Stegostoma tigrinum: one gene and its partners. The protein of the gene in region 3 purifies or fractionates together with the protein of the main gene of each other region. This does not show direct contact. Links are inferred from orthologs where the notes say so. Each region holds a gene or a part of one and is shown on either strand. Other genes may lie near its edges. The genes, in order: mitochondrial intermembrane space import and assembly protein 40-like, cytochrome b-c1 complex subunit 7 and cytochrome c oxidase subunit 6B1-like.

What was found.
Region 1: the proteins of cytochrome c oxidase subunit 6B1-like (region 3) and mitochondrial intermembrane space import and assembly protein 40-like purify together in Homo sapiens (co-immunoprecipitation; 3 studies listed by BioGRID and IntAct, with this or other methods). This does not show direct contact. The link is inferred for Stegostoma tigrinum from reciprocal best matches to the Homo sapiens genes COX6B1 and CHCHD4.
Region 2: the proteins of cytochrome c oxidase subunit 6B1-like (region 3) and cytochrome b-c1 complex subunit 7 purify together in Homo sapiens (affinity purification with mass spectrometry; 3 studies listed by BioGRID and IntAct, counting the BioPlex papers as one, with this or other methods). This does not show direct contact. The link is inferred for Stegostoma tigrinum from reciprocal best matches to the Homo sapiens genes COX6B1 and UQCRB.

What each region holds. Positions count from the first base shown.
Region 1 is NC_081364.1:2,799,728-2,807,631, reverse strand, and holds the start of mitochondrial intermembrane space import and assembly protein 40-like, read left to right. Parts: upstream 1-4,869; 5' UTR 4,870-4,995; coding exon 4,996-5,017; intron 5,018-7,904. Other genes in the region: transmembrane protein 43-like, read right to left, coding at 2,266-2,412, 3,273-3,287.
Region 2 is NC_081358.1:93,151,463-93,159,491, forward strand, and holds the start of cytochrome b-c1 complex subunit 7, read right to left. Parts: upstream 3,019-8,029; 5' UTR 3,004-3,018; coding exon 2,943-3,003; intron 2,900-2,942; exon of another isoform or gene 2,804-2,899; coding exon of another isoform or gene 2,785-2,803; intron 1-2,784. UniProt on the Homo sapiens protein: Component of the ubiquinol-cytochrome c oxidoreductase, a multisubunit transmembrane complex that is part of the mitochondrial electron transport chain which drives oxidative phosphorylation.
Region 3 is NC_081376.1:6,942,137-6,950,189, forward strand, and holds the start of cytochrome c oxidase subunit 6B1-like, read left to right. Parts: upstream 1-5,026; 5' UTR 5,027-5,119; exon of another isoform or gene 5,120-5,158; intron 5,159-5,190; exon of another isoform or gene 5,191-5,326; intron 5,327-5,536; exon of another isoform or gene 5,537-5,646; intron 5,647-8,053. UniProt on the Homo sapiens protein: Component of the cytochrome c oxidase, the last enzyme in the mitochondrial electron transport chain which drives oxidative phosphorylation.

The DNA of each region.
Region 1 (7,904 bases), on a different chromosome or scaffold from region 3:
GTGCTGTAAGTGGCGACACATAAACTGATCACTGTACTCATTTGAGTACATGACAATAGAGTTAACTCAATTCAATTCAACATTTATTGTCCGTCCGTAGTTGCTCTCTTGAGAAGGTGGGGATGAGATGCCTTCAAGAGCCACTGCAGTCCATGTGCTGTGAGTTGACCCACAATGTCCCTTAGGGAGGGAATTCCAGGATTTTGGCACAGTGGCACTGAAGGAACGGGGATATATTTCCAAGTCAGGATGGTGAGGGGCTTGGAGGGGAACTTGCAGGGGATGGTGTTCCCACATACGGGGGTCACTGATTTACAAACACTCCTACTTACAAACACAATTCCATAAAGGGAGAAATTTTATACACCCAACACATGAACACTTCCTGAATTTAGGAACAGTTCCTCTACACTGTCCTTCACTGTGCTCCAATCTGGGTACAAGTCAGTTTGTGAATGGGGTCAGGACTGGGACCCATTCCCAACCCAGCGAGTGCCTGCATGTGCTACCGTTTTCTTTCCAGATGGTAACTGTTATGGTTTTAGGAGATGTTGTCAGAGGAGCCTTGTAAATAAACCTGCTTTTATAGAACTACATCAGCACAATATAAAATGTTCCAAGACATTTCACAAGAACGTAGATTAGAGAATAACCGTCACCCAGCAACATAAAAATGCAGCATTAGTGACCAAAATCTCAAACAGACCGGCATCTTAAAGGAGGATAGAGAGATAAAGAAAGAGACAATTAGAGAGGTTTATGGAGGGAATTCTAGAGTGTTGAGTCCAGACAGCTGTCGGTATAGCATTCAATGGCGGAGGGATTAAAATCACAGATACTCCAGGGATTAGAATTGGAGCGAGGCAGAGATATCGGAGGATTTGGGGACTGGAAGAGGTTACAGCAAGATGTAAAGTGCGAGTCTATGTTGGGTTCAAACAAGTGGTTGATGATTTTTTCAATGGAATTACCGTCAGACTGTGAGCAAAACGTTCATCAACAACACACATGGGCAATGTTCCTGGTAACTGCACCAAGCAGAATATTCTGTGTCACTGCCCTACCACGCTGCTGTGCCCAGTTTACAGGGAATACTAGTGAGCGGTAACCGGGACATGACAACATCTAGAAGAACTCAGATAGCCAGAGGAAGGAAGATGGTGTTATTTCAAGGGACTTCAACATTCTTAAGCACAAGATCACTTTTTGAGTTTTAGTGCAAACAAGAATCTACCTGAAAGAAAATAATGCATTTATTTTTAGTATATCTGATTATTCATTTTGTCTTCTACATATAGGCTCAGTATGTTATCCTCCTCTTTGAGTAGCCAAATTATAATTTGAACTAGCTAGTTCTATACAGTCCATCACACGGGCATTTGTGAGGCAGGTGAGATACTTGGACTTGATTATCTGTATTTGGGAGAATGCTGTCTCAGAGGGATGTGGTACCAAAGCTTTCATTGTAAAACCACAGGATAATAGCAGTGTGTATTTTTCTCTGTTTACAAATCTCCAAACATCACTGTCCCTTGTTCCAGCTTCCAGCTCAATATCATTTGGCACAGTTAATTATGTCCACTTCAATACCACGGACTTGTAAATCAAATACCTAATGGAATCTGATAGCCAGCCCAACAACGTCTACTTGAAGGAAGAGACCGGAGGGAGACATGACCGTTCATTCCAATGCATCTAATTCCTGAAATTAGCCTGTAGAAATGATCCCACATTGCTAAGTCTCTATCCTCTCTGTGCAGTTCACAGTTCAGCTCATTCAGCTTTGATCTTTTATCTGTAAGGAACATGAAGCCAAGTAACGACACATTGGCAGCTCACTGCACACCTCATTCCTTCTTGAGTGTTGTTAGAGCTGCATCCATCCAGGCAAGTGGGGAGTATTCCATCACACTCCTGACTTGTGCCTTTAGATGGTTAGATGTGTTTTGGGGAGTCAGGAGGGGAGTTACACACCGGTGTATTCCTAGCCTCTGACCTGCTCTTGTAGCCACGTTGTTTACGTTTTGTTGTGTATCAAATCCAGTTAAGTTTCACATCAACGTTCCTCATCATGCATTTTACAAAAACTATCACCTCAGATTCTTCTGTTTGCCCAGGTCCCTGATGTGGGATTTGAACCCATGAACTTCTGATTCAGAAATGAGCGCGAGCTACCCACTGAGCAACAGACACTGATACCACAAATTGAACAGGATAACTGATGCCTGCCCAGAAAACAGCATGTAATCCAACCTCTGCACCTACCTCATTGGTGAAGAGGAGGTAGAAGGACAAGGTGAAGATAAGCACTCCCACCACCATTCCCCCCATTGTCTCCCCAAGACGTTCCAGGAATCCCTGCTTCTTCTGATTTGTGACCTTCACGTGTTCATCCCTGCTGCCTCCTGGTTGCTGCAAAACCAGAAGGGACAAGCTTTCATGAATCTTTAAGTACCATCTTAAAAGCGAAATGAAGACAGATGAACTTTGTAAACATTTTCACGGGATGTGGAATAGTATTGGCTAGGCTGGCCATCTCTAAATTCCCTTCAAAATGTTGTCTGCCTTCATTAACTGCTGCAGGCCATTCAGTACAGGCACACCCAAAAACAGAAGGTGTTTAAACAACAGTGACACAATTTTTGATGTTGGGCTGTGGGCATTCCTGGTCAGACTGACATTTATTGCCCATTCATTTTACCCAGAACCAGTATAATTGAGCTGACTGACTTAGCTGAGGATCTTACACAGCATTTAAAATATAATCTTGACAAATGGGTCTGAAGTCATTTACACATCGTCAGTGACATCTCACTAACCAAGACTTGCACCCTCCCACCCATTATGTTTTGATTATAGTGCAGCATCATTTTGATTTGCTCTGGCACTGGCCAACAATTGTGCTGATTAGAAACAAAAAAAACAGCAACTGATGGAGAGTTGTTGGCTTCAGTCCAGGGCCATAGTAGACATAGGGAAGGGTTGGTGGTTCTGATTGGGGGGGGGGGGGGGGGGGGAGGTAGGGAGAAGGACTCTGGTTAGCCCCTTTGATTTTACAAGAAGAGATATCAGATCTCTTGCAAATATGCCAGGGAGATGGGAACTTTGTCTTCCTCAGGTTCAAAGCTGTGCCACGTGGATCTGGGCTGTCAGAATATAGAAGGGAACTCCCTTCCCCAGGAATATCTTCAGATGATAATGTGTCCAACGCCAATTCAGATTAATCTTCACCTGCACGTTGACAAGGCTGTTGTTTGTGGTTCTGAACTTACATTAGGCCTCACCATGGTTTCCCTGCCAATAACACACACTGAGGGGGGAGACCACAGTCAGCTCTAGCCCCTCTCACACCTTCACTTCCGGCTTCAAGGGGGATACATTCTGCGCCTGCGCACTCCTGAGGGACGGACCTACTCCCGTGAAGCTTGCCGGGAGATGGTGTCGACTCCCCAGGAATGCTGGGGATTGTAGTCTTACCTACCGGAGGATGCTGGGTGGTGGCCTCCCCGGGCTCCGCCTGGGAAGGTTAGGACCCTCCCGCAAGCATGCTGGGAGCTGTAGTTTTCTTCAGCTTGAACCTGGTCCCCAGGGAAAATGAAACCCCAGTATATAAATGACTTTATTCACCTGCATCCACTCATATTGAGGTGATTGCACAATTGTACTGAACATGGCCACACAAAATTTCAAGACCATCTTAGCTTGGAGCAGGGACAGCCCCTGACTTATACTGTCAAAACTTCTCAAAACTCACTTATACTGCCATTCTATAAGTTCATACTCATCCAATTGTGTCTTTCACTGCACTTTCCTGCTGGTCAATTCTACAGATTAATCACATGTTATTACATATTGTACAATATTTGAGCCTGTGGATTCTATAGATTAAAATAAAACAATGAATTACAAATGCTGGAAATCTAAAACAAAAATAGAAATTGCTGGAGAAACTCAGTAGGACTGACAGCAACTGTGGGAAGAAAGCACAGGGTCCAGAGACTCTTCATCAGAGCTGGTATGAGCCAGAAAAATGTGATATTTATGCTGAAGCTGAAGCTGGGAATCTGAAGGGGAGATGAGGGCGGATTGGTGGAGACGGAGCCCAGAGACAGAGATATGAAAGAGCTAGGTAGACAGGGAAATTACGGGTAGCAGGCCAGAATAGAAAAAAAACTGAATATGTGACAATGAGAGCTAAGAGTAGGAGAAAATCGGTGAGCTGTACAGAATGTAACCTAGTCTGCGTCACACAAACCGCTTTGCAGAAAACCAAGCTCTGTCTGCAAAAATGATCCTAAGCTTTCTGTTGCCTGCCACTTCAACACACCGCTGTGTTCTCATGCCAAAATTTCTGTTGCAGGCTTGCTGTAGAGTTCCAGCCAACCTCAATGCAAGGTCAAAGAACATCTTACTTTCCACTCGGGGATCTTGTGGCCTCTAGAACTCAACAATGAGTTCAATAACCTTAAGAGCCTAATACAGTCCGTCCATGCTTTTTACCCACAGCCACACCTGATTCTCTCAATGACCACAATCACCCATTCTCACAAACTCGTTGGTCCATTATAACTTAATAAATATTGTTTATTCAGTAGGTGGATGTGATGGATATTATACATTCCATAGGGTGGGTATTATGGACAATATACATTCCATAGGGTGGGTTTACGGAAAATATAGATTCTACAGGGTAGGTATTGTGGACATTATACATTCTAATGGATTAGTATGACGGACATTGTGCATTCTATAGGGTGTATGTTATAGATTCCATAGGGTAGGTGCTTTGGGCCGTCTCTGCGGCTTTAAATTGGGCCCCCGGTTCTGGCCCCGCCCTCTCGCTGTGATTGGTTCCTGCCTGTGGGTCAGAGGTCAGGCCGGGAGCACGGGCCGGAGACTGAGAAACACATTTCTTCCCCACCCCCCCGGACACGAACCCTCACACAGAGAGAGAGAGAGAGAGAGAGACAGAGAGAGAGACAGAGAGAGAGAGAGATGTCCCACTGCCGGCGGCACGGTGAGGGGCCGGGGGGGTGGGGAACGGAGGGTCAGGTGTGAGGGTGAGGGGGTGAGGGGGGTGAGGAGGGGGGTGGGGGAGGGGGGTGAGGAGGGGGTGAGGAGGGGGGTGGGTGAGGAGGGGGGTGGGTGAGGGGGTGGGGGAACGGAGGGTCAGGTGTGAGGGTGAGGAGGGGGTGAGGAGGGGGGTGGGTGAGGGGGTGAGGGGGGTGAGGAGGGGAGGGGGGTGAGGAGGGGGGTAGGGGAGGGGGGTGAGGAGGGGGGTGGGGGAGGGGGGTGGGTGAGGGGGTGGGGGTGGGGGAGGGGGGTGGGTGAGGGGGTGGGGGGGGTGAGGAGGGGGGTGGGTGAGGGGGGTGAGGAGGGGGGTGGGTGAGGGGGGTGAGGAGGGGGTGGGGGGGGTGGGGGGGGTGAGGGGGGTGAGGAGTGGGGGGGGTGAGGGGGGTGAGGAGGGGGGTGGGTGAGGGGGTGAGGGGGGTGGGTGAGGGGGTGAGGGGGGTGGGTGAGGAGGGGGGTGGGTGAGGAGGGGGGTGGGTGAGGGGGGTGGGTGGGGTGAGGGGGGTGGGTGAGGGGGGTGGGTGAGGTGAGGGGGGTGGGTGAGGGGGGTGGGTGAGGGGGGTGGGTGAGGTGAGGGGGGTGGGTGAGGGGGGTGGGGAGGGGGGGGGGGTGAGGAGGGGGGGGGGTGAGGAGGGGGGGAGGGTGAGGAGGGGTGTGAGGAGGGGGGGAGGGTGAGGGGGGTGGGTGAGGAGGGGGGGAGGGGGAGGGGGGGAGGGTGAGGGGGGTGGGTGAGGGGGGTGAGGAGGGGGGTGGGTGAGGGGGGTGGGTGAGGGGGGTGGGTGAGGGGGGTGAGGAGGGGGGGTGGGTGAGGGGGTGGGGGGGGTGGGGTGGGTGAGGGGGGTGAGGGGTGGGGTGGGTGAGGGGGGTGGGGTGGGTGAGGGGGGGTGAGGAGGTGGGGTGGGTGAGGGGGTTGAGGAGGTGGGGTGGGTGAGGGGGTTGAGGAGGTGAGGGGGTTGAGGAGGTGGGGTGGGTGAGGGGGGTGAGGAGGTGGGGTGGGTGAGGAGGGGGGTGAGGAGGTGGGGTGGGTGAGGAGGTGGGGTGGGTGAGGAGGGGGGTGAGGAGGTGGGGTGGGTGAGGAGGTGGGGTGGGTGAGGAGGGGGGTGAGGAGGTGGGGTGGGTGAGGAGGTGGGGTGGGTGAGGGGGTGGGGGGGGGTGAGGGGGTGAGGAGGGGGGTGGGTGAGGGGGTGGGGGGGGTGAGGAGGGGGGTGGGTGAGGGGGTGGGGGGGGTGAGGGGGGTGAGGAGGGGGGTGGGTGAGGGGGTGGGGGGGGTGAGGGGGGTGAGGAGGGGGGTGGGTGAGGGGGTGGGGGGGGTGAGGGGGGTGAGGAGGGGGGTGGGTGAGGGGGTGGGTGAGGGGGTGAGGGGGGTGAGGGGGTGGGGGGGGGGTGAGGGGGGTGGGGGGGGTGAGGGGGGTGGGAGGGGGGTGGGTGAGGGGGGTGGGTGAGGGGGTGGGTGAGGGGGTGGGTGAGGGGGTGAGGGGGGTGAGGAGGGGGGTGGGTGAGGGGGTGGGGGGGGTGAGGGGGGTGGGTGAGGGGGGTGAGGAGGGGGGGTGGGTGAGGGGGGTGAGGGGTGGGGTGGGTGAGGGGGGTGGGGTGGGTGAGGTGGGTGAGGGGGTGGGGTGGGGTGGGTGAGGGGGTGGGGTGGGGTGGGTGAGGGGGGTGAAGAGGGGGGTGAGGAGGTGGGGTGGGTGAGGGGGGTGAGGAGGTGGGGTGGGTGAGGGGGGTGAGGAGGTGGGGGGGGTGAGGGGGTTGAGGAGGTGGGGGGGGTGAGGGGGTTGAGGAGGTGGGGTGGGTGAGGGGGTTGAGGAGGTGAGGGGGTTGAGGAGGTGGGGTTGAGGAGGTGGGGTGGGTGAGGGGGTTGAGGAGGTGAGGGGGTTGAGGAGGTGGGGTTGAGGAGGGGGGTGAGGAGGTGGGGTGGGTGAGGAGGTGGGGTGGGTGAGGGGGGTGAGGAGGGGGGGTGGGTGAGGGGGGTGAGGAGGGGGGTGGGTGAGGGGGGTGAGGAGGGGGGTGGGTGAGGGGGGGTGAGGGGGGGTGAGGAGGGGGGGGTGAGGGGGGTGAGGAGGTGGGGTGGGTGAGGGGGGTGAGGAGGTGGGGTGGGTGAGGGGGGTGAGGAGGTGGGGTGGGTGAGGGGGTTGAGGAGGTGGGGTGGGTGAGGGGGTGAGGAGGGGGGTGAGGAGGTGGGGTGGGTGAGGAGGTGGGGTGGGTGAGGGGGGTGAGGAGGTGGGGTGGGTGAGGGGGGTGAGGAGGTGGGGTGGGTGAGGAGGTGGGGTGGGTGAGGGGGTGGGGTGGGTGAGGGGGGTGAGGAGGTGGGGTGGGTGAGGGGGGTGAGGAGGTGGGGTGGGTGAGGGGGGTGAGGAGGTGGGGTGGGTGAGGGGGGTGAGGAGGTGAGGGGGGTGAGGAGGTGGGGTGGGTGAGGGGGGTGAGGAGGTGGGATGTGTGAGGGGTGGGTGAGGGGGGTGAGGAGGTGGGGTGGGTGAGCGGGAGGTGGGGTGGGTGAGCGGGGGGTGAGGGGGGTGAGGAGGTGGGGGGGTGAGGGGGGTGAGGAGGTGGGGGGGTGAGGGGGGTGAGGAGGTGGGGGGGTGAGGGGGGTGAGGAGGTGGGGGGGTGAGGGGGGTGAGGAGGTGGGGGGGTGAGGAGGTGGGGGGGTGAGGGGGGTGAGGAGGTGGGGGGGTGAGGGGGGTGAGGAGGTGGGGGGGGTGAGGGGGGTGAGGAGGTGGGGAGTGAGGGGGGTGAGGAGGTGGGGGGGTGAGGGGTGTGAGGAGGGGGGGTGAGGGGTGTGAGGAGGGGGGGGTGAGGGGGGTGAGGAGGGGGGGGTGAGGAGGTGGGGGGGTGGGGGG
Region 2 (8,029 bases), on a different chromosome or scaffold from region 3:
AAATAGGGTGAACATTTTGGGTGCAGTGACTCATCAGGTGCTATCACACCTACCGAGTTTCTCCAGCAATTTCTATTTGTTATCAATTAGGCGGCATAGTTTTATGGGTGAGAACTGAGACAGAGGTTTGGTCGAGAGGTGAGGGGTGAAGAGGTTGTATGGTGCAGGTGAAGAGCAGGGCGCACGTGCCCCTATCTTTGAAGGCAGTAGCTCAATAGAAGAGATTACAAAAAGTCACTAAAGGATCCTTAACTTTATCTGACTAAGAAAGAACATTAAACATTACTCAAACATTACTTGGGCTTTATCTGGAGCAAGGCGCATAATTCTTGGAACCTAAATTTAGAAGAAATGCCAAAGCATTTAAAAGGATGCAGAAGACTTTAGTGAGATATAACTAAGGATGAGGGATTGAGGTTGTCCTCCCAACAGGTTTGATAAAGGTTTGGGTTACACAAGGGCCACTTGGTGCCTGATCTCAGAACAGGCTTAGTTCAAAAATGGACAAGAGAGCTGAAATCCCAAGGTAAGGTGAAAATGACTGCCCTTGATATTGAGACTCCATTTAACTGTGTGTGGCCTCTCATGTTACAGTTGATCTTTCTCTACACCTTCTCTGTAGCTGAAGATGATATTCTGCATTCTGTTCAATTACCCTAATGTAATTATATAAGTAATGATTTGTCTGATTAGCACATAAAATATTTTTCATAGTATCTCAGTACATATGCCAGTAATAATGAATCATTGAATCACCAAAGTGTGGAAACAGGCCATTCAGCCCAATGGGTCCACACTCAATGACCCTCTGAAGAATATCCTACCCAGACCCATACCCCCACTATATCCCGGTAACCCTGCACTTCCCATAGCATTCAAGGATGTGTAGGTTGGCTATGGGCAATTTAGCATGGCCAATTCCCCTAAATTGCACAGCTTTGGACTGTGGGAGGAAACCAGAGTAACAAGAGGAGATCCATACAGACATGGGGAGAATGTCTGTGTGCAGTTTGCACAGTGACGAGAGGGTGGAATTGAACGGGGTCCCTGGCACTGTGAAACGAAGCACAGAGTCAAGAGACTTCGCAAAACCAGAGGCAATGGGAATCAGGGATACTGTCTGCTGGTTGGAGTCATACCTAGCACAAAAGAAACAGTTATGGTTGTTGGAGGTCAGTTATCGCAGCACGAGTTCTTCAGGGTAGCGCTCCAGGCTCAAGCATTTTCAGTTGCTTTATTATGACATTGCCCACAAAGGTCAGAAGTGGGATGTTTTCTGATGATTACACGACGTTCAACATCATTCACAACTTGTCCAACACTGAAGCAGTCCACGTCCAAATGCAGCAAGACATGGACAACATCCAGGTTTGAGCTGACAAGTGCAAGGCAATGGCCATATCTAAAAAAGGAGAATCTAAATCATTGTCTCTTAACATTCATAGGCATTATTATCACAGAATCACCCACTGTCAACATCCTAGCTGTTACCACTGAACAGAAACTGAAATGAACTAGCCACATTCAATGGCTATAAGACCGGTCAAACAACTGCACAGCACAATGCCGGCTCCCCAAGCCACAAGTCAGGAACTTGATGGAACACTTCCTATTTGACTGGATTAGTGTCAACAAGAAGCTTGACACCTTCCAAGGCATAGCAGCTTGCTTGATTGTTTTTGGATGTGGTGCCATTCACTCTCTCCAACAGTAACAGTTTGTACCATCTGCAAGATGCACTACAGAAATTGAATTGGGCTTAAGATAACAGCTTCAAAACCCACAATACTACCAGCTAAAAAGGACAAAGACAACAGATGTATGGAAACAGCATCACGTGAGGAGTTCCCTTCCAAGACATTAATCACCCTGACTTGGAAAAAACATCACTACCTTGTCTGTGTTACTGGTTCAAAATTCTGGAACACCTTCCCTAACAACATTATTGGTCTGCATAAAACAAATAAGGTGTGGCTCTTTTTTTTAAAAAAGGCAGCTCACCACCACCTTCCAAGGGCATCCAGGGTTAGGGAATAAATGCTGGCACAACCAGCAACTCCCATATACTTTGAACAATTTTTTTAAAAAGCAGTAAGGAGAAACTCTCAGCAACTAAAGGGCAGTGACTTAGAAGAACAGGTGGCAGTTGAACCCAAGTCTCTTGGCTCAGAGGCAGGGATATTCCCAACACGTTACACGAGCGCCAAGGAGAAAAAAAACACATTTAAAAACATTAAGTACTACTACTGACAACTGAATGTATTTATCCCAACCGCCAAATTATCTGGAATATTCTACCCGAAGGAATGGTGAAAATAAACTTAACAGTAATTTTCAAGGAAGAGTTGAATAAATACTCAAAAGGAGGAAAATCCAGGAAAAGCCACCAAAAGAGGCAGTATTGATACGCTCGGCCGAATTGCAGTGAGGAGCAGAGTCTCCAGCTTCCGGTCGCGATTTCCGCTGGGGTCACCTTGAACGCTGTAAACACAAGTTGTTCCTCTCCTCCGCTAGATCTCAATGTCAAGAGAGTCACTGCAGGGGACAGCTACTGGAGCTGGTCACTGACGCCATGATAGACCCGGTACCTCTCCCATCACTAACCAACCACGGTCGGGACCCCGCAGTCACCTTACCTCCCCCACCCGTCCCCGGAGGATCCCCACACATCCCTCTCAGAGACAGGCTAAGGTGCCCACTTCTCTCACCAACTCCACGTAGAAAGCGCCAGGAACTTTATGCATAGCCGGACTGTTTCCCTCTCCCCTTCCCGTTCTCCCTCACCTGGGGCTCTAGCCGCCATCTTGCTGCTTAGGAGCTCAATGCGACTGCGCCACCCGTCAAAAGTTGCGGCGCAAAGATGTAACGTAAACGCGTCGCGTGACCGCGGTTTAACGTATTTACACGCACTCGATCGGAAGGACAGCGCCGACCCGACTTACATGCACGTGCCCGATGTGAGTCACAATGACTGCGCGTGGGCCAAAGATCGTACGCCGGCATCGTCCGCGCATGCGTACGTGCCTTTTCCCCGTATAAGTGGTGTCTGTTCCGGGTTTGGTGCTTTCCAGTGAGTATGGGACTGACGGCGAAATCACCTTGTTAGGCAGTAATACAATGCAAGTTTTCATTAATTTCTTCGCATGGCAATGGCGAACAGTGTAGCTCCCGGGCTGTAAACACAAGTTGTTCCTCTCCTCCGCTAGATCTCAATGTCAAGAGAGTCACTGCAGGAGACAGCTACTGGAGCAGGTCACTGACGCCAGGATAGACCTGGTACCTCTCCCATCACTAACCAACCACGGTCGGGACCCGATGGATTGTAGGGGGAAAGGACAGCATTCATAGATACAGCGCTCAAGCCACAAACTGCACCAAAGATGAAAGAAACTAAGCACAGAAGAAAAATTAATTCCACAGCCCCAAGCAATATTAGTGCCTTTGTCCAGGAGTTTATGGATGTGTAGATCTAGATTTCTGTCATTTATGGCATTAGTTTTCTGCTTTTGAACACAAAGCATCTACATGCATTCAATACAGTCAAGCTCAAGGAACAACATCTCATAGTTACATTACAAATATTTGCAGCTGTCCTGTGTTTGCACTGATGTCGTTTTGTTTATAAGATGTGGGCATTGGTTGCTTGGCCAGGATTTATTCCACGTCTGTGAGGGCCTGGAGAAGTTGATGATGAGCTGGCTTGAATGCACCAGTGCTTGCGGTGTAGGTTCTTTTAGAAAGGAAGTTCCAGGAGTTTGATTCAACAACACAGAAGGAGTGGTGATGTATTTCTAAGGCAGGATTGCATGTGGGGCTTGTAGGGAACTTGCAAGTGGTGGTGTTTCCATGCATCTGCTTCCTTCTCCTTCCAGGCATTAAGAGTTCATGGGTTTGGAAGGTGTTGGCAAATAAGCCAGGGCAAGTTGTTGCAGTGCATTTTATACACACCGTTACTACAGTGTAACAGTAGTGGAGGGAGGGAATATTTAAGTTGTTGGATGGTGTGCCAATCAAGGGGGCATTTTTTTTTTCCTGAATGGCGTTGCGCTTCTTAAATATTGTCAGGGCAGCGTATGGAGAACATTTCATCTTAGTCCTGATTTGTAAATGGTGTTCAGACTTTGGGAGGCAGAAAATAAAATTCGACAAACACCACAAAATTCCTTGCCTCTAACCTTCTCTTGTAACTACAGGGCGTTCTACTTCAGTTTTTTATCAATGGTACAAATTTTGATAGTAAGGATTCAGTGATTGTACTGCCGTTGAATGTCACAGGACAGTGTTAGATTCTGTTTTGTTTGAGAAGATTATTGTGCAGCATTTATGTAGTGGAAATACTACTTTTCAATTATCAGCGCAAGCCTGGATGCTGTCTAGGTCTTTTTGCATATGTTCACGGACTGTTTCAGTGTGTAAACAGTAGCGAATAGCACTGAAACTGTGAAATCATCAATGAACTTCTCCATTTCTAAACTTATGATTGAAGGAGAACAAGGAAGCTTGTATTTATTTAAAGTTTTTAAGATTGACAGGAGACCTTCTTGAGACATTTAGCAGGATAGATGGAGAGAAGTTGTTTCCCCTTGTGGGAAGAGTCTAGGACCATAGGTTGCCCATTTAAGACAGAGATGCGAAGGAATTTCTTCTCAGAATAGTGAATCTGGGGCATTCTGTACTGTAGAGAGAACTGTCAAGGTTGGATCATTAAGTATTGACAAGGCTGAGTTAGATAAGTTTTTACTCATAAAAGAATAAAGGGTTATTGGGATAAGACAGAACAGTGAGGATTGTCATATAAGCCATGATCTCATTGAATGCCAGAGCAGACTTGATGGGCTAAATGTTCCATGTCTACCCATATATCTTTTGATAAGTAGAAAATAATTGTAAAGGTAATTACCAGAAGCACCCAGTGTGACCCAGTTGTTTTTGGCGTGGTGAGTGACGATGGTTCCGTATACACAGCTTTAAGGGTAGTAGTGGTAGCAGCAATTTTAATCATAATATTCAAAGGAAAATTGAATTAATATCTGCATGGCTATGGGGAACGATTGGCAGAGTAGGACAAATTGGTAACTTTTTCACGAGCTAGCATAGACACGGTGAGACAAATGGCTGCCTTCCGTGTTTTTACTATTCTGTGATCCCAAAGATGAGCTTGGGAGCCAGCTGGTGTTTAGGACTAGAATTCCCCATTCCTGCACTGCTTGGGAGGATGGTCTGCATACTTTGTCAACGTGTGTTTTTCTCATACTGGACTGTTGATACACTGGAGAAGGCTTCACTTTTCCAGATCTCAGAGTCATAGAGATATTGAGCAGAGAAACAGACCCTTCAGTGCAACTCATCCGTGTTGACCAGATATCCGACATTAATCTAGTCCTATTTGCCAGCACTTGGCCCATATCATTTTAAGCCCTTCCTGTTCATATACCCATCCAAATACCTTTTAAATCTAGCGATAGTAACAGCCTCTGTCAAGTCCTCTGGAAGCTCATTCCATACACGTATCATCCTCTGTGAAAAAGTTGCCCCTTAGATCCCTTTAAATCTTTCCCCTCTCATGTTAAACCTGCACGGTCTAGTTTCCCTACCCTGGGGAAAAGACCTTGTCTGTTTACCGTATCCATGACCTTCATGATTTCATAAGCCTCTGTAAGGTCACCCCCCTCAGTTTCTGACTCTCCATTGATCAAGCGCCTTAGAACATGGAACATAGAAAAGTACAGCACAGTACAGGCCCTTTGGCCAACGATGTTGTGCCATGGATTAATCCTAATCCAAAAATAAAATAACCTAACCTACATTCCCCTCAATTCACTGCTGTCCATGTGCATGTCCAGCAGTCGCTTAAATGTCACTAATGACTCCGCTTCCACGACTACCACTGGCAAACTATTCCATGCACTCACAACTCTCTGAGTGAAGAACCTTCCTCTGACGTCTTCCTCTATACCTTCCACCTAACACCTTAAAACTATGACCCCTCGTGGCAGTCAGTCCTGCCCTGGGGAAAAGTCTCTGGCTATCAACTCTATCCATGCCCCTCATTACCTTGTACACCTCGATCAGGTCCCCTCTCTTCCTCCTTCTCTCCAGTGAGAAAAGTCCAAGCTCAGTCAACCTCTCCTCGTAAGACAAGCCCTCCAGTCCAGGCAGCATCCTGGTAAACCTCCTTTGCACCCTTTCCAAAGCCTCCACATATTTCCTATAATAGGGCGACCAGAACTGGACACAATATTCCAAGTGTGGTCTCACCAGGGTTTTGTACAGCTGCAGCAAAACCTCGCGGCTCTTAAACTCGATCCCCCTGTTAATGAAAGCCAAAACACCATACGCTTTCTTAACAACCTTATCCACTTGTGTGGCAACTTTGAGGGAGCAATGCACTTGAACACCAAGGTCCTGCTGTTCCTCCACACTGCCAAGAATCCTGCCTGTAATCCTATATTCATCATTTAAGTCAGACCTTCCAAAATGCATCACTTCGCATTTATCCACGTTGAACTCCATCTGCCATTTCTCAGCCCAGCTCTGCATACTATCAATGTCTCGCTGAAGCCTGCAATAGCCCTCGATACTATCAACGACACCTCCAACCTTTGTGTCATCAGCAAACATACTAACCCACCCCTCAACATCCTCATCCAAGTCATTTATAAAAACTACAAAGAGCAGAGGCCCAAGAACAGACCCCTGCAGGACACCACTCAGCACTGACCTCCAGGCAGAATACTTACCATCTACAACCACTCTCTGCCTCCTGTCAGCCAACCAATTCTGAATCCAGACAGCCAAATCACCCTGTATCCCATATCTCCCAACTTTATGAATGAGCCTGCCGTGGGGAACCTTAGTTCTTCACTATCCTGTCTATCTGCAAATTCATTTTCAAGGAACTGTGAACCTGCACTCCGAGACCTCTCTGCTCAGCAAAACTCTCCAGGACCTTACCGTTAGGTATATAAGATTTGCCCTGGTTTGCCTTTCCAAAATGTCGAACCTCAATTTATTTAAATTAAACTCCATCTGCTACTCCTCAGCCCCTTGGCTGGATTGATTGAGGTCCCCTTGTATTCTGAGGGTTTTGTTGCTGTCCACTACACCTCCGATCTGCAAACTTACTAACCATATCTCCTCGGTCCACATCCTAATCATTTACATAAAATGATGAAAAGCAGTAGACTCAGCACTGATCCTTGTAGCACACCACAGGTCACAGGCTTCCAGTCTGAAAAGCAACCCTCCATCACCACCCTCTGTCTTCTACCTTTGAGTCAGTTCTGCGTCCAAACAGCTGGTTCTCCCCCTGTTCCATATGATCTAACCTTGCTAACCAGTCTATCATGAGGAACCTTGTTGAATGCCTTCCTGAATTCCATACAGAGCATGTCCACTGCTCTGCCCTCATTAGTAATGTCTGTCACTTCAAAAAATTCAATCAAGTTAGTGACATACAATTTCCCACTCACAAAGCCACTTTGACCATCCCTAATCAGTCCTTGCCATTCCAAATACATGTAAATCCTATCCCCTAAGATTCCCTCCAGCAACTTGCCCACCACCAATGTCAGGCTCACCCCGGTCTATCGTTCCCTGGATTTTCCTTACCACCTTTCATGAATAGTGACACCATGTTAGCCAATCTCCAGTCTTGTGGCACCTCATCTGTGGCTGTCGACGATACAAATATCTCAGTATGGGGCCATCTTTTTTCTCACTTCCCACAGAGTTGTAGGGTACACCTGATCAGGTCCCAGGGATTTATCCACCTTTATGCATTTTAAGGCATCCAGCACCACCTCTTCTGGAATATGGACATTTTTCAAAATGTCGCTATTTATTTCCCCATGTTCTGTATCATCCATATCCTTCTCCAAAGTAAACATTGAGGCAAAATACTTGTTTAGCATCTCCCCCATGTCCTGCAGTTCCACACATAGATAGCCTTTCTGATCTTTAAAAGGGTCCTATCATCTCCTTAGTTACCATTTTGTCCTTAACATATTTGTATAATCCCTTTGGATTA
Region 3 (8,053 bases):
GTGGGACAAATTAGCTGTGGGAAATGCAGGGTTACAGAGATAGGGTAGGGGGGTGGTGGGTCTGGATGGGATGCTGATCAGAGGGTGGTGTGGACTCGATGGGCCAAATGGCCTGCTTCCACACTGTAGGGATTCCATGATTCTACTGGTGGAAGGGATGGAAACTCTAACACCCCCCCAAGCATATCTTATAATCCCAGAGGCTGCTGTGGCAGTGTCCTTGCCTTTGAGGCAGGTGACCTAGGTTCAAATCCCACCTGCTCTAGAGGTGTGTAATAACATTTCTCAACAGGTTATTTAAGGAAAAAAGAACATGCAGTTTGTAGACAGCCTGTAATTCTCTGAGAAGGTAATTAAGTTGCATTTCATATGGACTTACAAAGTGATAAAGATTCTGAAGTGAGATTAGTAAAGATGAGTGATCAGATAGAACAAGAGGTGTACACAAATGTTATTAGGCTTTTGATGGCAGAGAACTCTAGGATTGGAAAGAAAAGAAAGATTGAAATAATTCACGGATGCATTTTGATGAAATTGCTCAAGTACAAAGTGAAACATCTCAAGAAAGGTGACAATAAACAGGGAAGTGTTTTATTAAATTAGCAAATCGTGAATACGTTCAGAGATATTAAGAAGTGCTGATGCTGGAGTCAGAGACAACATGCGTCGGGGCCCTTCTTCAGAAATAAGATCTGCACTGGAGAACTGTTGCTCCAAACATCTGTCACCCAGGAAACAACAGACAGGCAGAGCTAATTAATGAAAATAATTTAGCAATTATTATTAATATACCCTGGTAGATGTGCACCCAGTCATACTGAGTTCTGCATACACTGGAATTACAATGAGAACACTTTACTGAGGAGGCAGCAATCAAAGTTTACGCACATTTGGAATATAGCATGGTTGCCCTCAAACAAAAGATGCAGATGATGAGAAAGGATCATGACAATTTTATGTCTTGGAGACTAAAATCAGAAGAAAGGCTCAAGGAGCTTAACATGAAGTTGTTAACAAAGACTCAGCAGAGACTATTTTTTGTATTACACCCACAGACAGAGAGAAAATCAAACTCTCTGCCATTCCCATTATCTCTGTAATTGTTTTCTCCTTTTACAGTAATATGTAACCCTTGGTATTGAACTGAAGTCTCACCTGCCTTCTCAAGTTGATATAAATAAACTCCATGTCCTTTCTTTTGTCTAGTCTCTTAGTCCCTGTTTATCCCACAATAAACAGCATTAAAACTGATAACCTAATCTTACTTCCAAGCTTTCATTATTTTTAAACAGAATCATTTAAAGTAAAACTTGCTGTGCCATGTTTAAAGATAATAAGTCACCAGGACCAGGCGAAATGCAGCATGGAGACTGAGTGAAGTCATGATGCAAATTACAAAGGCACTGGCCACAATCTTCCTATCCCCTGAGACACAGAGGTAATGTAGATGTAATGTAAAAATTATACCCCTGTTTGAAAAAATGTTTAAAAATACACCCAGCAACAACACAATAGACAGTTTAGCTTTGATAGTGAAAAAGCTGTCAGAAATAATAATCCTGGAGAAAATTAGCAGCCACTTGGACATCTACAAATTCAGGGAAGCTAGTATAGTCTTGTTAAGGGCAAATCATGTTTAATTAGTTTGGATTTTTCAATGAAACAACAGATGGTTGATGAGTTTCAGTTATGAAGGAAGACCAGACAGACTGGGCTGGTTTACCTTGGAACTGAGGAGACTGAGAGGGTACATGATTGAGATGTATATAATTTTGAGATGTGTAGACAGGGTTGGCAGGAAGAAACTTTCCCCCTTGACGGAGGGATGAATAACCCGGGAAATAGATTTAAGGCAAGGAGTGGAAAGCTTAGAGGAGACATGAGGGAAAATGTTTTCACCCATAGGGTAGTGGGAATGTGGTACTCACTGGCAATGGGGTGGTAGAGACAGAAACTCCCATGACATTTGAGAAGTATTTAGATGTGCACTTGGGATGCCAGAGCATATGGGCCAAGTACTAGAAAATGGGATTAGAATAGTTAGGTGATAACAAAATGTGAGGCTGGATGAACACAGCAGGCCAAGCAGCATCTCAGGAGCACAAAAGCTGACGTTTCGGGCCTAGACCCTTCATCAGAGAGGGGGATGGGGAGAGGGATCTGGAATAAATAGGGAGAGAGGGGGAGGCAGACCGAAGATGGAGAGTAAAGAAGATAGGTGGAGAGAGTATAGGTGGGGAGGTAGGGAGGGGATAGGCCAGTCCAGGGAAGACGGACAGGTCAAGGAGGTGGGATGAGGTTAGTAGATAGATGGGGGTGCATCTATCTACTAACCTCATCCCACCTCCTTGACCTGTCCGTCTTCCCTGGACTGACCTATCCCCTCCCTACCTCCCCACCTATACTCTCTCCACCTATCTTCTTTACTCTCCATCTTCGGTCCGCCTCCCCCTCTCTCCCTATTTATTCCAGTTCCCTCTCCCCATCCCCCTCTCTGATGAAGGGTCTAGGCCCGAAACGTCAGCTTTTGTGCTCCTGAGATGCTGCTTGGCCTGCTGTGTTCATCCAGCCTCACATTTTGTTATCTTGGAGTTCTCCAGCATCTGCAGTTCCCATTATCTCTAGAATAGTTAGGTGGTTGTTTTTGATGGGTGTGGACTCAATGGGTTGAGGGGCTTTTATTCTGTGCTACAGATCTCTATAACATTATCATGCGATGCATATGGTGTACATAGCATTCCAAAGGCATTCACTAAAATGCTACCTAACAGGCTTCTCATAAATGTAAAAGCTTGTGAAATAAAGAAGACATCGGCTGTGTGGTCATCTCAGGGAATAGCAGTGAATGCTTGGTCGTCAGAATGAGGCAGGATGATTAGTGAGTTTCCCAGTAGTCTGTGTTAGGTCTGCTGCTCTTCCTGACATACATTACTGCCTGGACTTGCGTGTGCAGGGGATAATTTCTACAACCACAGATGAAACAAAACTTGGAAGAATTGTGAAGTATGAAAAGAATAGCAATAACCTTCCAATAAGACATCAGCTGATGTAATGGTTATGTGGCCATGAAATTTAATGCAGAGATGTGTCAACTGGTCATTAAGGTAAGAAGAACAAGGAAACAATAGGATATAATACGAAAGAGGATGGTGGGGAGTGGGAGCGGGGGCAGGTGGTGGAGGTCGGTGGGGGGAGGCAATGGTGGCAGGGGAACCTAGAGTATATGGGCACAAACATTTAAAGGGGACAGAGTATCTTGAGTAACTGATTAATGAAGACATACAGGATCCTGCATTTCATCACTGGGGGTGTAGAACATAAAAGGATGGAAATTGTGATGAACCTTAAGAAAATACAGTTTCAGCCTCAGACAAGGTACATTAGGAAGGATGTGAAGACATTGCTGGACAGTTGCCGTAAAAGGGTTAATCAGAATAGTTTTGGGGAAGAAAGCTTCTGACCCAAAGGGTGACAAAGATATTAAGAATTGCTGATGCTGGAGTCAGAGACAACATGTGTCAGGACCCTTCTTCAGAAATAAGGTCTGAACTGTCTGAACAGTTTGTTCTTGAGAAGAGAATGTCAAGGGTGAGATTTGATGGTGATATTCAAAATCATGAGGGGTCTAGAAATGATAGACACAGGATTGTTTATATTTGCAGATGTGCAGGTTTGGTGGATTGGCCATAGGAAATTACCCTGTTGTGTTCAGGAATCTACAAATTAGGTGGATTAGCCATGGGAAGTGTAGGATTATGGGGATAGGGTAGGGGTGTGACCGGGTCAGGGTGGGATGCTCTGAGGGCTGGTGCAGTCTTGATGGGCCAAATGGCCTCTTTCCACACTAATAGGATTGTATGACTCCAGAAGAGAAGCAGAAGCCACCAATGTAAGATGATTGGCAAAAGACCCAGAGGTTACACAAGGAAAAGCTTTATTATTGTCAACAAAATAGAAGTAGGTTGAAACTTTTCCTCTTTGTCAGGACAAAACACAAGAATACAACATTTCAAACAATCACAATAATTTAGACTGCAGCAGGAAAACAAAGGGGAGATGAAAGAACTATGGATGCTGGAAATTGGAAACAGGAACACAAATTACTGGAGAAACTCAGCTGTCTGGCAGCATCTGTGGAGAGGAAACAGTTAACATTTCCAGTCCGCAGAGTCAACCCTCATTGGCTGAGGGGTTGCCAATGTGGAAACCAAGGTGAAAGTACAGGTTGCTCAAATTCCTGGGGAATTCTAACGAAGGTGCAAAGTTTCAACCTAAGGTAGTTTGGACCCAAAATAGAAATTGCTGGAAAAGCTCAGCTGGCCTGGCAGCACCTGTGGAGAGAAATCAGAGTTAACGTTTCGGGTCCCTGTTCTGAGGAATGGGTCACTGGACCCGAAACGTTAACTCTGATTTCCCTTCAAAGATGTTATCAGACCTGCTGAGCTTTTCCAGCAGAGATAATGGGAACTGCAGATGCTGGAGAATCCAAGATAATAAAATGTGAGGCTGGATGAACACAGCAGGCCAAGCAGCATCTCAGGAGCACAAAAGCTGACGTTTCGGGCCTAGACCCTTCATCTCTGTGCTCCTGAGATGCTGCTTGGCCTGCTGTGTTCATCCAGCCTCACATTTTATTATCTTGGATTCTCCAGCAATTTGTTTTTGTTTCGTATTTGCAGCATCTGCAGTTCTTTAGGTTTTCCTTTACTTTGAACAGAGGGTCTCTAAATTGATACAATGATTTCTCATTTTGAGGCTTATTAATTTTGTATTAATAGGGTGTTAAACTGCATGCACTCTCTGACCAGGCCTGTAGCGGTGCTAAATACTCCAAATAATGAAATGTGGTTAATGATTAATCGCATTTTTTTTGGAACTAGCCCTCACATACATCCTTTATTTAATAGTTGAAATTCTGTCTATACAAACACTGCATTCACACCTTTGTTTTACATTCCGCTGCATGTTGCAATCACGACTGGAATGTTGTTACATTAATTTACTTGCTTCTCACCGCCCCCCCCCCCGCCACAGTTCCTGTTCCGGGTAAACGATTTCCTCCATTTTCAAATAAAACGTTTAGAACAGTAGTTGTAGATTTGTTTCAGGCTGATACAATGTAAGTAAGCATCTCGATCAGAAACGAGTTCTTAAATTGGTGAGTTATTTTGGAGTGAGTGAGTATTTAGGTTTGGCAATGGGTGGGGTGTATTGAACTTCTGCTGTAGGACGCCATGCAGCGTTAGTGAGCAGACACAGTGTAACTAACACGGAAGTGAAGTGTAGCCGTTTTTCGAGCACATTTCTCTGTCGCTTTGGATTACAGGTAGGACGTGGTCTTTTCCAGACACGGAGCAGCCAAACGCACAGAAATGATGTTAGACGTTTGCAGCCTGGTTTGAAAGCCTCCGCATCTTTCAAGATTGAATCCTTTTTGAGTAGGCTAGGGAAGCAGGAACCTGCTTTCGCTTTGAGATTTTAATTAGCGCCTAAGCGAGGCGGCGCTCTGCATTGTTGCACCAAACCGAGCGGGGTTTACATTATTTCAGGCTGTGAAAGGTCGCTTAGAGAACTCTGCATTCACAGTGAAATTTCGTACACAGTTGCTATTTCAGCTCAGTGGGGACCCGTTCCTGCTGTATGCAGGTAAATTACAGAGGGAGACTTTCCATCCTTTTTTTTGTGAACCCTGGTTTGTCCTTCTCAATGTCACTGCAGGCCTGGATTGGATTGACCTTGTGAGGGTAGAGGACAGTGTCGGAGGTGAACTGGTGGTGTTGGGAGCTGTAGGCCCCAGAGGGGGTGGGGAGGTGTGTGTGGAGGGAGGGTGGCGGGGTGACTGAAGCGGACACTGATTACAGCCTGGCGTAGATGGAATTTGAATTTGAATGTGAGCAATAGAAATTGATCTGGCTTCATTTCTGCTCTTTCTTCACAGCACAATTCCTGTTCAGAGCTTTTGTTTCAGATTTTTGACCAAAACAGCTTTGACTTGCTGTATGCAGAAGGACCCTGCCATTAGCTGGGTCAGAGTGGATTGACACGTCAGAAAAGTACCCTTAAGATAATAGGAACTGCAGATGCTGGAGAATCTGAGATAACAAAATGTGGAGCTGGATGAACACAGCAGGCCAAGCAGCATCTCAGGAGCACAAAAGCTGATGTTTTGGGCCTAATCCTTCATCAGACAAAGGGGAGGGGGAGAGGGTTCTGAAATAAATGGGGAAGGGGGGGAAGCAGAGGTGGATCGAAGGTGGAGAGGAGGCAGACAAGTTAAAGAGGTGGGGATGGAGCCAGAAGAGGTGAGTGTTGGTGGGGAGGGGATAGGTCAGTCTGGGGAGGATGGACAGGTCAAGGAGGTGGGATGAGGTCAGTAGGTAGGAAACGGAGGTGCACCTTGAGGTGGGAGGAGGGGATAGGTAGGCAGGCAGGGACAAGCTGGGTTTCCCAAAACCTCAAGCCGCACCTCCACTTCCTACCTACTAACCTCAACATGCCCCCCCCCCCCCCCCCCCCCCCCGACCTGTCCATCCTTACAGCAGAAAAGTACCCTACGCGGTTTGGTTAAGCTATGGCCCCTAGGCTTATTTCTGGTCAGCTTGTGCAGAGATATTATGGCCCATGTCTGGAGCAGGCGGGATGAAAACTGACTCGGGGCTAAAGGTAAACAGACTTTACCTTTAAAGTTACCATAGCCTCGCCAGAGCATCGTTAGAGAGAAATGACTGAGGGTTGTTTAACCTGAGGGGTAACCACGCCTCGTGAGAAAGGGAGAGATTGAGGAGAGTCCTTCATAATAACCTGTTGCTGTCACTGCATTGCAAACCAGTTGTCCAGCCAACTGATCTCTCCAACTCTGAGTTCGGGATGCTCCCAGTACGCTATAAGAGCCCTTTGGCAGGGGGGTTTTTGTTGGAGGTGTCTTTATGTTTTGTGCTGGCTACAGTACAGCTGAAGAAAGGATAAGGTTCTGAGGTTGGGACAATTGGTAAGAATGAAAGGAGAAGAGTGAATGATGAACTGAAGACTAGTCATAGAGCTGTACAGCTCAGAAACGGACCCTTTGGTCCAACTTGTTCATGCCAACAAGATATACCATGATTAATTTAGTCCCATTAATTAGCATTTGGCCCATATCCCTCTTAAACCTTACTGTTCATGTACACATTACTCAGAGGGAATACTGCCAACTGAATGAGTGATCTGGAGGCAGATGGAGATGTGGACTTCCATTTAACATTTATGCCTGAGTCGTTTGGGTTCCTTAGCATCCAGAGTTGGCTCACATAGAACCAACACTTAAGTACTTCCTTTTATTGTAAAATATTAATAGTATCCACATTTTAAATGGGTTTGAACTTTCCCAAGTGCTGATGTTACTGTAACAGTGACACCAGATGCACACTGGGTTGGTGAGCACAGCACTAACATTGTGGTTTCTGCCCATTTTGTCACAGCACTTCACTGCCATGCTCGTGTTTCTGTCCAAGGTCTGCTGCGGTTTCAGTGAACCCAGAAACAAGCTGGAGGAACAGCACCTCCTTTTCCATTTGGGTTCTTCATAGTCTCTGGAATCAATATTGAGTTCAACAATTTACAGACCACAAAAATTATTTCCCTCCGTTCAATTCCTCCCACCTCTCAAGCAACTAGTTTTCTGTATTTGGTAGAACTGAGCTACATTCTACTATTAACATTCACCTAGCCCACCTCTCTCTCCTCCACATTCATTGCCTTTTGTTTTATAATGCTGGTGGTGTCTAACCTTGCTCATTCTGTAACCATGTCCCCTCCTCCCCCTTCTGGTCCACTTGCTATTCTGAATTTCTTTCTATCATATAAAACCTATCCCCTTTCCCTGCCCCTCTCAAGCTCAAAAGAATTTTGAAACTTTAACTGCTTATCTCTCCAATGCTGTCAGACCTGCTGAATTTCTCCAGCACTTTGTTTTTATTTCAGATTTCCAGCATATGTAGTAACATCCTTTAGTGTTATGACATTGCACTAGGCTCAAAGCAGGAGTTTAAGTGGAATTAGGTTAAGATACCCTCTT